Linked DNA regions of Tribolium castaneum. The protein of the gene in region 1 purifies or fractionates together with the protein of each later gene. This does not show direct contact. Links are inferred from orthologs where the notes say so. Each region holds a gene or a part of one and is shown in the gene's direction. Other genes may lie near its edges.

Region 1 (4,340 bases):
ATTCAGTTTCACAAGAACGGTTCTCTCTTTTTGATAATATTGTTAGTAGTTTTTATTTCTGTTACAATTTTCGGATTATAATAAAATTGTTACTTAGCATAATTTTTGTGTTCCTTCCGTAATTTCACTAGTTCTCATTTTTGTAATATACTTCCTCTGTATTACGTATGTTTTCACAAAAAATCAATCATAACATTTTTATTATCAGTAAGTAGATTAGCACCTGTAACTTTTTTAAAAAGGTAAGCCATTTAGAAAATAAAAGTTGGCAGAATTATGTCCCATCCGTAATCAATAATCATGGAATGGGTGAATTTGGATTAAATTAAATGTCCAGTTAGTTAATTTTCTGTTTTTTTTTAACTAAATAAAGCCATGAGCGCATTTTAAAATACTTTATTTCCTACAGTTCAAGTAAAACTGCTGTAAAACAGTAAGGAAAATGGCTGAAATTTGACGCTTTCTAGCCCCTTTAATCAGTGTTGAACGTATTTTTTAGGCAACCCATTTTTGATACATTCCTTTGATAAAAAATAAATTTCATCGGGTAAGCAGATGAGTGAAGTACGATTCTAATTCGTATCCTTCACTCTAGGTTGAGTATGATGTGGACGAAGAGGACACCACTTGGTTGTCTTTAATGAACGAAAAACGCGAAGCTGCGGGCCTTAACCCCGTCTCGGTGGACTCCCTTGAACTCCTGATGGACCGCTTGGAGAAAGAGTCCTATTTTCAGGTATAACCGCCCCCTCAATTTAAAATCCCTAACCCCAACTTGTATTGTTTTAAAGGTCTATCACGTAAATGGTCAGGTTTGCACTTTGCGAAAAATTCACAAATTCCGTGTTTTATTTCGAGCTGTTTTCAGGCTTCGGTAAACGGTCACACGGGGGCTGTGGTGGACGACGATGCCGTCTGTTGCATTTGCATGGACGGGGAATGCCAAAACACTAATGTTATTTTATTTTGCGACATGTGTAACCTTGCCGTCCATCAGGACTGCTACGGAGTGCCCTATATCCCAGAAGGCCAGTGGCTGTGCCGGAGGTACATATTTAATTTTTTCTACAAATGCAGTTTTACAATTATTGCCAATTTCAGGTGTCTTCAGTCGCCCAGTCGGGCCGTTGATTGCGTCCTGTGCCCCAATCAAGGGGGCGCTTTCAAGCAAACGGACAGGGGGCACTGGGCACATGTCGTTTGTGCCCTGTGGATCCCCGAGGTCCGGTTTGCTAATACCGTTTTTCTCGAACCTATCGGTATATCACGGACGGTGTTACCAACAAGAGAAAAATTTATTCGTTTTTTTAGATTCCATAGAAACCATTCCAGCAGCAAGGTGGAAGCTGACGTGTTACGTGTGCAAACAGAGGGGCGTAGGGGCGTGTATACAGTGTCACAAGACCAATTGCTATTCGGCGTTTCATGTCACGTGTGCACAACAGGCGGGGCTTTACATGAAAATGGACACCGTTAAAGATACGGGGGATTCACAGCCGGTTCTTGTGCAGAAAATCGCCTACTGTGATGTGCATGCGCCCGCGGAGAGCAGTACGTTTCGGGGAAACCCTGTCTTTTACCTTCTTTTTTTTAAATTCATGAGGAAAAACGAAAACCAAATGCTACCAGATTTTAACATTTTTTTTAAATATCTCTATATCCAGTTTAGGTATAAAACCCAAATTTTGGCTAAGTCTACAAGTAATCAAATGCCACACGTTGGTCAAATTTCAGACATTTTTGCGCCACTCTATATAAAATATACAGGTGTGTACTACGAGTTTGTGCCAGATATAACGAAAAAAGAAGAAAAATTTTTATTTTCTTGTCAGAATTTTTATAAAAAAAAACAACTCCTTTTAAACAAGGACAAAAAGTATGTTGGTTCGATTTTATGATGATTTTTTCAATTTCTCTCGATTTTCGGTACCGGGAACATTTATCGAGCAATAACTCCGGAGGTATTAGATGTAAGCCTATGAAGTTTATTATCGTTGGAAAGCTCTTTTAATTATCTATCTTCAAAAAAAAGATCATTGCTTTCCGACTAATACTTTTCGAAAAAATTGCAAACAAATGTAAAAATCGGTAATAATAAAAAAAAATTATAATGAAAAAAGTATTGGAAATTTGGCGATTTTCTCGACGCCAGTCGATTCCTCGGATAATTTTACATAGGTTTGCATCAAAATAGTTACACTTTTTTGAATAGTTTTGTCGTAATTGAGAAAATAAAAAAATTGTTAACACATCAAAATGGACAATTTGAAAAGTGTTTCAAGATTAAAACAATTAAAAGTCATTCTTTCTGATTAATTTTGTGCTATTTACGATGGAATAAAGCTTTTTTCCTGACTTAGTTTCGCCGTAATCAGCGTTTGAAAATTGCAAAAAAAATTTTGAGATATCGCCTTAAAAACTGTGCTATTTGGTAAAGCTTTGGAAATCATTTTTTTCATTTTCCGCTAATTCTGTAGTTTCGCCTAAATCGGCGTTTGAAAATTGTAAAAAAATTGAGAAAGAAAGTGTAAAACACAACTTTTTTTGCGTTTTTCTTGGAAACTATAACACTCAGGGCAAAAATGAAAAAAGGATTAGATGGCGGTTAAAATTTTCTATTTTTTTGTCAAAACCCGGAGCCCCGGGCAACGGTTTCGAATACAGAGGCATTTTAATTTTTTTCACTGAAAAAATTGATAGCTTGAAAACTAAAAGTTGTAAACCAAAAAATAATTCTATTGAATACTACGTATTGTACCAGCATTTTTACAACACTAGCTTACTCGGGAATTTATTTAGAAGCTTATGTATAACTTGAAAACTATTTTGATTTATGAATTTTGCAGTTTGCTCAACATAAATTGATTTCCCGTATTATTTTACGTAAATTGAGAAAATAATAAAATTAAAAAATTTGGAAAAATTCGTCAGTAGTTCCAAGTGATGATAAATTTTGACATTTAGATCGTTCTTTGTTAAATATTTCCGAAACGGGTGTATCTTTAAAACCCATCTTTTGCCCACGTTATTAACTATTACACATGTTGGTCAAAATCGGTGGTGAAATTTTGCGCCCCCCTGTATAAAATATACCGGGCCCTTTCTATAAGTTTTTTTACCAGGTGAGGCGAAAAAAGAAGACGCCCGCCAGAAAATGAAGAAAGCTCGCAAAATGCTTGCGAAAAAACGAACATCGGCTCCGGTCATCCTCATCCCCACCATTCCCCCGGACCGCATCCAAGAAATCGGTGCCTTGGTAACAATTACGAAAAAATCGCAATTTATCCAACGTTTGATCGCTTATTGGACGTTAAAACGCCAATTTCGAAACGGTGTGCCCCTTTTGAGGCGCCTCCAGAGTGCCCAAGGGGGCCCTCGAGACTCCAATACCAGCAACGTTGACACTATTGAGTTGTGTCGGCAGCTGAAGTATTGGCAGTGTTTGAGACAGGACTTAGAACGTGCCCGATTACTGTGCGAATTGGTCCGAAAACGCGAAAAAATCAAACTCGAATCGATCAAAATCTCCGAAAAGTGTCTCAAAATCCAGTTGAAACCACTGGAGGCGAGTTTGCGCCTCGTCCTTGACCTGGTGGCCGCCAAGGACACCAATGAGATATTTAGCGAACCGGTGGACCTTGAGGAGGTTCCAGACTACACCACTGTGGTATCCGAACCCATGGACTTGAGTACCATGAGGAAAAAGCTAGACGATGGTCTGTACCCTGATTTAACTTCGATGGAGAAAGACTTCGATTTAATGATCGCCAATTGTCTCGCTTACAACAATCGCGATACAGTTTTCTACCGGGCGGCCATCAAAATGCGCGATCAGTGTGGCGCCATCTTCCGGCAAGCGCGCAAAGAGCTGGAAACTTGCGGTTTGTTGAACGAAGCGAGTGGCGAAACTCCGGCGTCGGGGAATGAGGAGGCGCTTGCCTCGGATATCGACAAGGAATTGGAGGGTTTGCAAGGGAAGGTGGGGCCAGACGTGATCACGAAACTTGAGGAGTTATTGGTCAAAAGCCAGGCCCTCAAGCACGGATTGGCCCGAGCGAAGCGAGTCAAAGTAGTGCGCAGCGAATTAAACAAGGCTAGGAAGAATCTAGCCAATACGGACAGCTCCCAGTCGGATGGCGAGAACGAAGGGGGCGGGGACTCCAAAAACAGCTCCCAGAGCTCAGGCGTGTCACCTAGTGGTGTCAACCGGCGAACTGCCGTTCTTTTCACGCGCAAAGCGCAGGCGGCTTTGAAAAAACCGGCTGAAGAGAAGGAGGACAAGGGGACTCCGCCCCCCGAAGCCCCCAAGCCGTAAGTAAAGCCAACTATTTGTTTTAAGG
Region 2 (5,120 bases), on another chromosome or scaffold:
GTATGTTGTTATTCAAGACGGGAGGTGGGGCATCTTCGGCCACGCCCACGTTATCTCTCTGTAACCAATCGGGTCCTCCCCCGTGTAAGATCTGCTCGCGCAGCCACACCAACCCAGCGAATGCGAATAGCGTGCACGTGACGACGAAGCAACCTTGGAAAATGTCCGATGCCAGGTTTTCCATTGAGAGGAGTTCAAACGGAAGGGTCAAGATGGCGTCGACAGTGCCGGCGAAAAGGGCGCGGTAGATCCGACAGGCTGTCAAAGGGACGATTCCGAGCCAAGCGATGGCGACTAGAGTGTAGTGGAGCCAGTATTTGATGGCGGTTCCGATGGAGGAGAGGAGACCGGCGGCGAGGTCTCGCACAGGGAGGCGGCGTGGCATGTCGGGGGAGTAGATGGGAGTGAAGGAGAAACGATAACTGCACAATTCGCAGTATTCTTTGCGCGAGTAACGCATCCATTGCATGAGGCATTCCTGATGGATCCACTTTATGCTGCCCGTGCAGATGCAGGGGTGGAACAGGGGGCGGTCGGGCAAGCCTTCCGAACGGCACACCCGGCAGATGTCGGTGTTGGACAGTTCCGAGTCCATCATTACGCTGAAAAGACACAGTAAAAAAAAAAAGACAGTAACTCAAATATCAAAAAACATTCCTAAAAAATCAGAGGGGAGCTGTATTTTCTCCAAATATATTTGGTTAATATTTTAACTATACTAGATCAAAATTTGTACTAAACAGAAAGTTTTGGAAGTGGCCATGAAAAAGTTTGTGCAAAAACCAGAGTTTCCCGCTAATGCTCTCTCCACTAGATTCTCCCTCTATGCAAGTCCATTATTTTTCCCTTCTTTTTTTGGGAGCATTTCTGATGTAAATAAGTTTAAATCTGGCAACTCTTTTTTTTGACCTGCTATCAGGCACGAGCCACCCCATAATATGAAAAAAAAGAACAAACAAAACAGAAGCATAAATTACAAAAGATGAAGTTTTTTTCCGTTCCTGAAAAGTTAATAACAATTTAATAAAGCATAAAGCTGAAACTAGACCCCTCAAATGAGACAGAATGTTTTTACAGACTTAAATTATTGAATTTCTCGAAAAAACTGAGTTGTGTATCTCTTAACCTTGACCGTTCCTTGCGATTTTCTCATTCCCATGATTGTGATGCAATCGAACTGAATCAATTTTTAATTAGTCCGACCCTGTCCTTGGTCGATTTCTTTATCGTCCAATTCCGGAATAAACTGAATATTTGCATTATCTACGTTCGAAACGCGACGACACCCATGAGAACAATTGAATTGAAAACAAAACAAACCTCCCACTTTGTACTTTGTCGTTATTCATTTGTTTTTCGGCAAAACAAATCGATTTTTTGCGTTCACAAATCAACTGATTTTATCTCAAGGTTACTTTTGCAATTAGAATAATAAAAAACGTTTGTTGTTAGTTAATTATGCCCAAAAACTGATAAAAAACGCATTATCTGTAGTGTGACAGACACAAGGGATTTATTTTTAACATAAAAATCTGGGAATTGTTCCAATGATTCACTTGGCCGTATCAAAGTTCCCCCAATCGTAAACACGGATTTTTCAAGTATATTGAGCCCCCATTGATGCAGTTATGTAAATTAGCAATTAGCAGGCCATGTGTTGGGGGCAGAGACCTCGAATGGCCCACATTTTCAATCCACCGATAAACGAAATTATTATCAAGGGATTACAACTCACACTAATTGATTTTTTTTTGATTAGTTAATAAGAATCAACACAATAAACAAGCTGGGACAAAAAATTACCTGATGTTTTTTGGCACAGGAAACTACTTGAATGTGAAGAACATTATGTAATTTACGGATCCGACTCAAAGATCCATAGTTGCGTGATCACAAATGCTCGAAATTCGACAAAAACTGCAATTTTTTAGGCGTTTTGAGGCTTTTCAGGACGAAAAAATTTATTTTTTGACGTAATACCACAAGACTGACGTTTACTTTCACTCAGGAAGCCAACTGTTGGCTAGTTCGGGAAAAGACCAACCTGACAAAACCACCAGTCACTAACACAAATAATGAGTTGTGCGGGGTTTTACCCTGATATTTTGACTTAAAACAACCCAGTTTCGTATCAGTAAAGATCACAAATCGCGTAATATCAATTGTGGGGCTTGGTTTGTGAATTACACTTAATTTCGTGTTACGTAACCTTAGCCACAAGAAACCTAACCTTAAAGTCTACAAAAAATGTCAACAAAGCGCTGATTTGGCGCCAAGTTTTTTGTATTGTGTTTTAGTGCAGTTTTTAGTGTGTTATCGAAGCAAAACATGATTTAGGAACAATGAAAGATTCAACTCCAATAAAGACCGGTAAAAAATCAAAGAAAAACAAGCACACCAATGAAGAAACCCCCGAAACTTCCCCAAATGGGGCTAAAATCAACGCGTTTCAATTTATGATGAATCGAAGACATCGGAGCATTGGGGGGAATTCCCCTGGGCGTGAACCTGACGCAAACGACTCGGAAACAGCCTCGGATAAAAGTGTCTTAAAGGAGAGGAAAAGTCGGTTTGAGAGCTGGGCGGAGGCCAAGGGGGCTGCCAAACGTAAACGAGAGTACGAGGAAGTCGGCAATTGCATCAGTTACAAGCTGGAGAAACGGGGAAAACGATTGAAAAAGTTGCTAAATATTGATTGTCAAAGTGACGATGAGGTGGTCACTAAAAGGAAGAAGCGGAAAACTGTTGTAATTGAAAGTGACAGTGAGAACGAGGCACCAAAAACACCAACTGCCAACAAAAAGTGGAAATTTAAGATCAAGTTGGCCGTGGATGACAGGAGTGATGTTGAAAATTCGTCTGTCAACAGTCAACGAAATGTTGAAAATGCCCAAGGAAGTGTTGAAAATGCCCAAAAAAGTGTTGACAATGCCCCAAAAAGTGTTGACAATGCCCCAAAAAGTGTTGAAAATGCCCAAGGAAGTGTTGAAAATGCTCAAGGAAGTGTTGAAAATGCCCAAGGAAGTGTTGAAAATGCTCAAAAGAGTGTTGAAAATGCCCAAGGAAGTGTTGCAGACGTGGTGATAGTTGAAAATGCCCCTGTCAATACGCAGTCTAGTGACAGTGGCATTGACGTCATCGAACTCGACGTGGACCCAGCCAACTCTGTTTCCGACGAAAATGCCTCACGCAGAGTTTTACGATCCCGAAAACCGAAAAAATACGATGATTTTCTTCAACTTTCTGATTCGGACGATGAGAAGAAGAAGAAGACAAAAGTGGCACCAGTTTTCTTAAAAGCTGTTCCAAAACCAAAATTAGATCCGGAAGCAATGGAAGCAAGAAGACAGTTTTTGATGAGTGGTGTTCCGTCTTCTTTGAAAAAAGAGATGGAAAAGGTGCGAATTTTTAGTACTGAAGAATCGGATTTTGATATTTTCCCGTCGTTAAGTCACGTCCAGCAAAAATCCGACAATATTTTCTGGGATTTACCCAAAGTTGATTTAAAGCTGGCAAACGTGGAGGAAAAAATGCAATTTATTTCTCCACTTGTCGAAAATTTAATAACTAGAAGTGATGGTGAAAATAAAATTGTCAACGAGTCTGTGCAAAAAATAACAAATTTAAAAAAAATCATCAAGGAGATAAAATTACAAAATCCAAATTATCCGGTTTATAAGATATTTAATTCATTGTTTGAGAAAAGTGGTCAAATAATTGAAACCGTGAATGACGTAACACCGAAACGCCGCGGTCGCAAAAAGAAAAAATCTTTGGAAAAACCACCAGAAATTACATCGCGGGAACACACGATGTGGACCGAGAAATACCGAGCAACTTCCTCTCTCGACATCATCGGGAACCACAAAGTTGTGTCATCTTTGAAAGACTGGCTTTCCCATTGGTCGCTCAGTGAACACAAAAGACGGGGCAGCGAATCAGATTTCGAAATTACCGACAGCGACAGTCGCGACAGTGCCACTTTTGGCAACACTGTCATTTTGCGGGGACCCCCCGGAAGCGGCAAAACCTCGTCCATTTACGCCATTTGCACCGAACTCGGTTACAACATACTTGAAGTTAACGCTTCGAGCAAACGCACCGGTTTGTATTTGTATTTTTAGGCTGGTATCTCTGATTCTAACCCGGCCTTTGATAGGTAAACGCCTCCTTCAGGAGTTACAAGAAGCCACCCAGTCGCATCAAGTCAAGAAAAAACAAAACACGAGCAAATGCGTCCTATTGGTCGAAGACATTGACATTGTCTTTGACCAAGACGAGGGTTTCAGTGCTGCCCTCTCGCAGATAATGTCAACAAGCAAGCGGCCAATTGTTTTAACAATGACCGACGAGCCATCTGCCGGCATCCAAAGAATCATAAACGACTGTCGAGTGTTTCAATTCGCGCCTTTGACGCCAATTTTGACAGTTTGGTTGCAAATTTTGTGCCTAATTGAGGGTTATTTTGTCAAAATCGAGGCACTTGCCGAGTTGTTGGCGTTCAATAAAGGCGACATCAGGCGGACTTTGCTGCAATTACAACTGTGGGTCAAGTCGGGTGGCCACCCTGATGGCAATCATGGTGGTAGCACTGGTGGTGCCACTAGTGTGTCAATTGACATTGACGATGATTCAAACTTGCCCGATTTTGGCACAGAGTGCGCTAGTGACACAATCCAGACACATTCGAATTGTGTGCCAATTTTTAATTGGTTACACAATTTTGAGTTGCTTTGGTGGAACTTTCCCCGCATTTTAAAAATGCCCGATTTTTCCAAACATCGGTTAAATCGCCACATTTGTGATTTCCCGGCCGGGAAAACCGAAAAAAACAAATTGCAAGCGCTGGCCAATTGTTACGATTCGTTGGCGTTTGCTGACGTCATGTGTCAAAAAAACCGGTTTGAGGAAAGTCTCGAACGGTCTTGGCGGACCAAAGAAAAGGATAGTTTGACTCTTGAGGAGAATTTTTCTCTTCCAGATTATAGTGATTTTAGCAATGATTTAGCGCAATTTTTATTAAGTGGCCAAGTGAATAATTTTGAGGATTCGAAGGTTGATTTTGATGTTACACTGCCGGTTCCAGAGGAACGAAGGTGGCTGTGTTACTCGTCAATCGT

Evidence for each region. The genes of interacting proteins can lie anywhere in the genome.
Region 2: the proteins of Br140 (region 1) and elg1 purify together in Drosophila melanogaster (affinity purification with mass spectrometry; 3 studies listed by BioGRID, with this or other methods). This does not show direct contact. The link is inferred for Tribolium castaneum from reciprocal best matches to the Drosophila melanogaster genes Br140 and elg1.

Annotation. Positions count from the first base shown.
Region 1 is NC_087401.1:11,380,600-11,384,939, reverse strand, and holds part of Br140 (peregrin), read left to right. Parts: intron 1-595; coding exon 596-736; intron 737-791; coding exon 792-812; intron 813-868; coding exon 869-1,047; intron 1,048-1,101; coding exon 1,102-1,259; intron 1,260-1,311; coding exon 1,312-1,551; intron 1,552-3,122; coding exon 3,123-4,311; intron 4,312-4,328; exon of another isoform or gene 4,329-4,340. UniProt on the Drosophila melanogaster protein: Scaffold subunit of the histone acetyltransferase (HAT) Enok complex which has histone H3 acetyltransferase activity.
Region 2 is NC_087399.1:3,030,931-3,036,050, forward strand, and holds the start of elg1 (ATPase family AAA domain-containing protein 5), read left to right. Parts: upstream 1-2,052; 5' UTR 2,053-2,342; coding exon 2,343-4,104; intron 4,105-4,159; coding exon 4,160-5,096; intron 5,097-5,120. Other genes in the region: E3 ubiquitin-protein ligase MARCHF6, read right to left, coding at 1-598. UniProt on the Drosophila melanogaster protein: Has an important role in DNA replication and in maintaining genome integrity during replication stress. Promotes PCNA deubiquitination.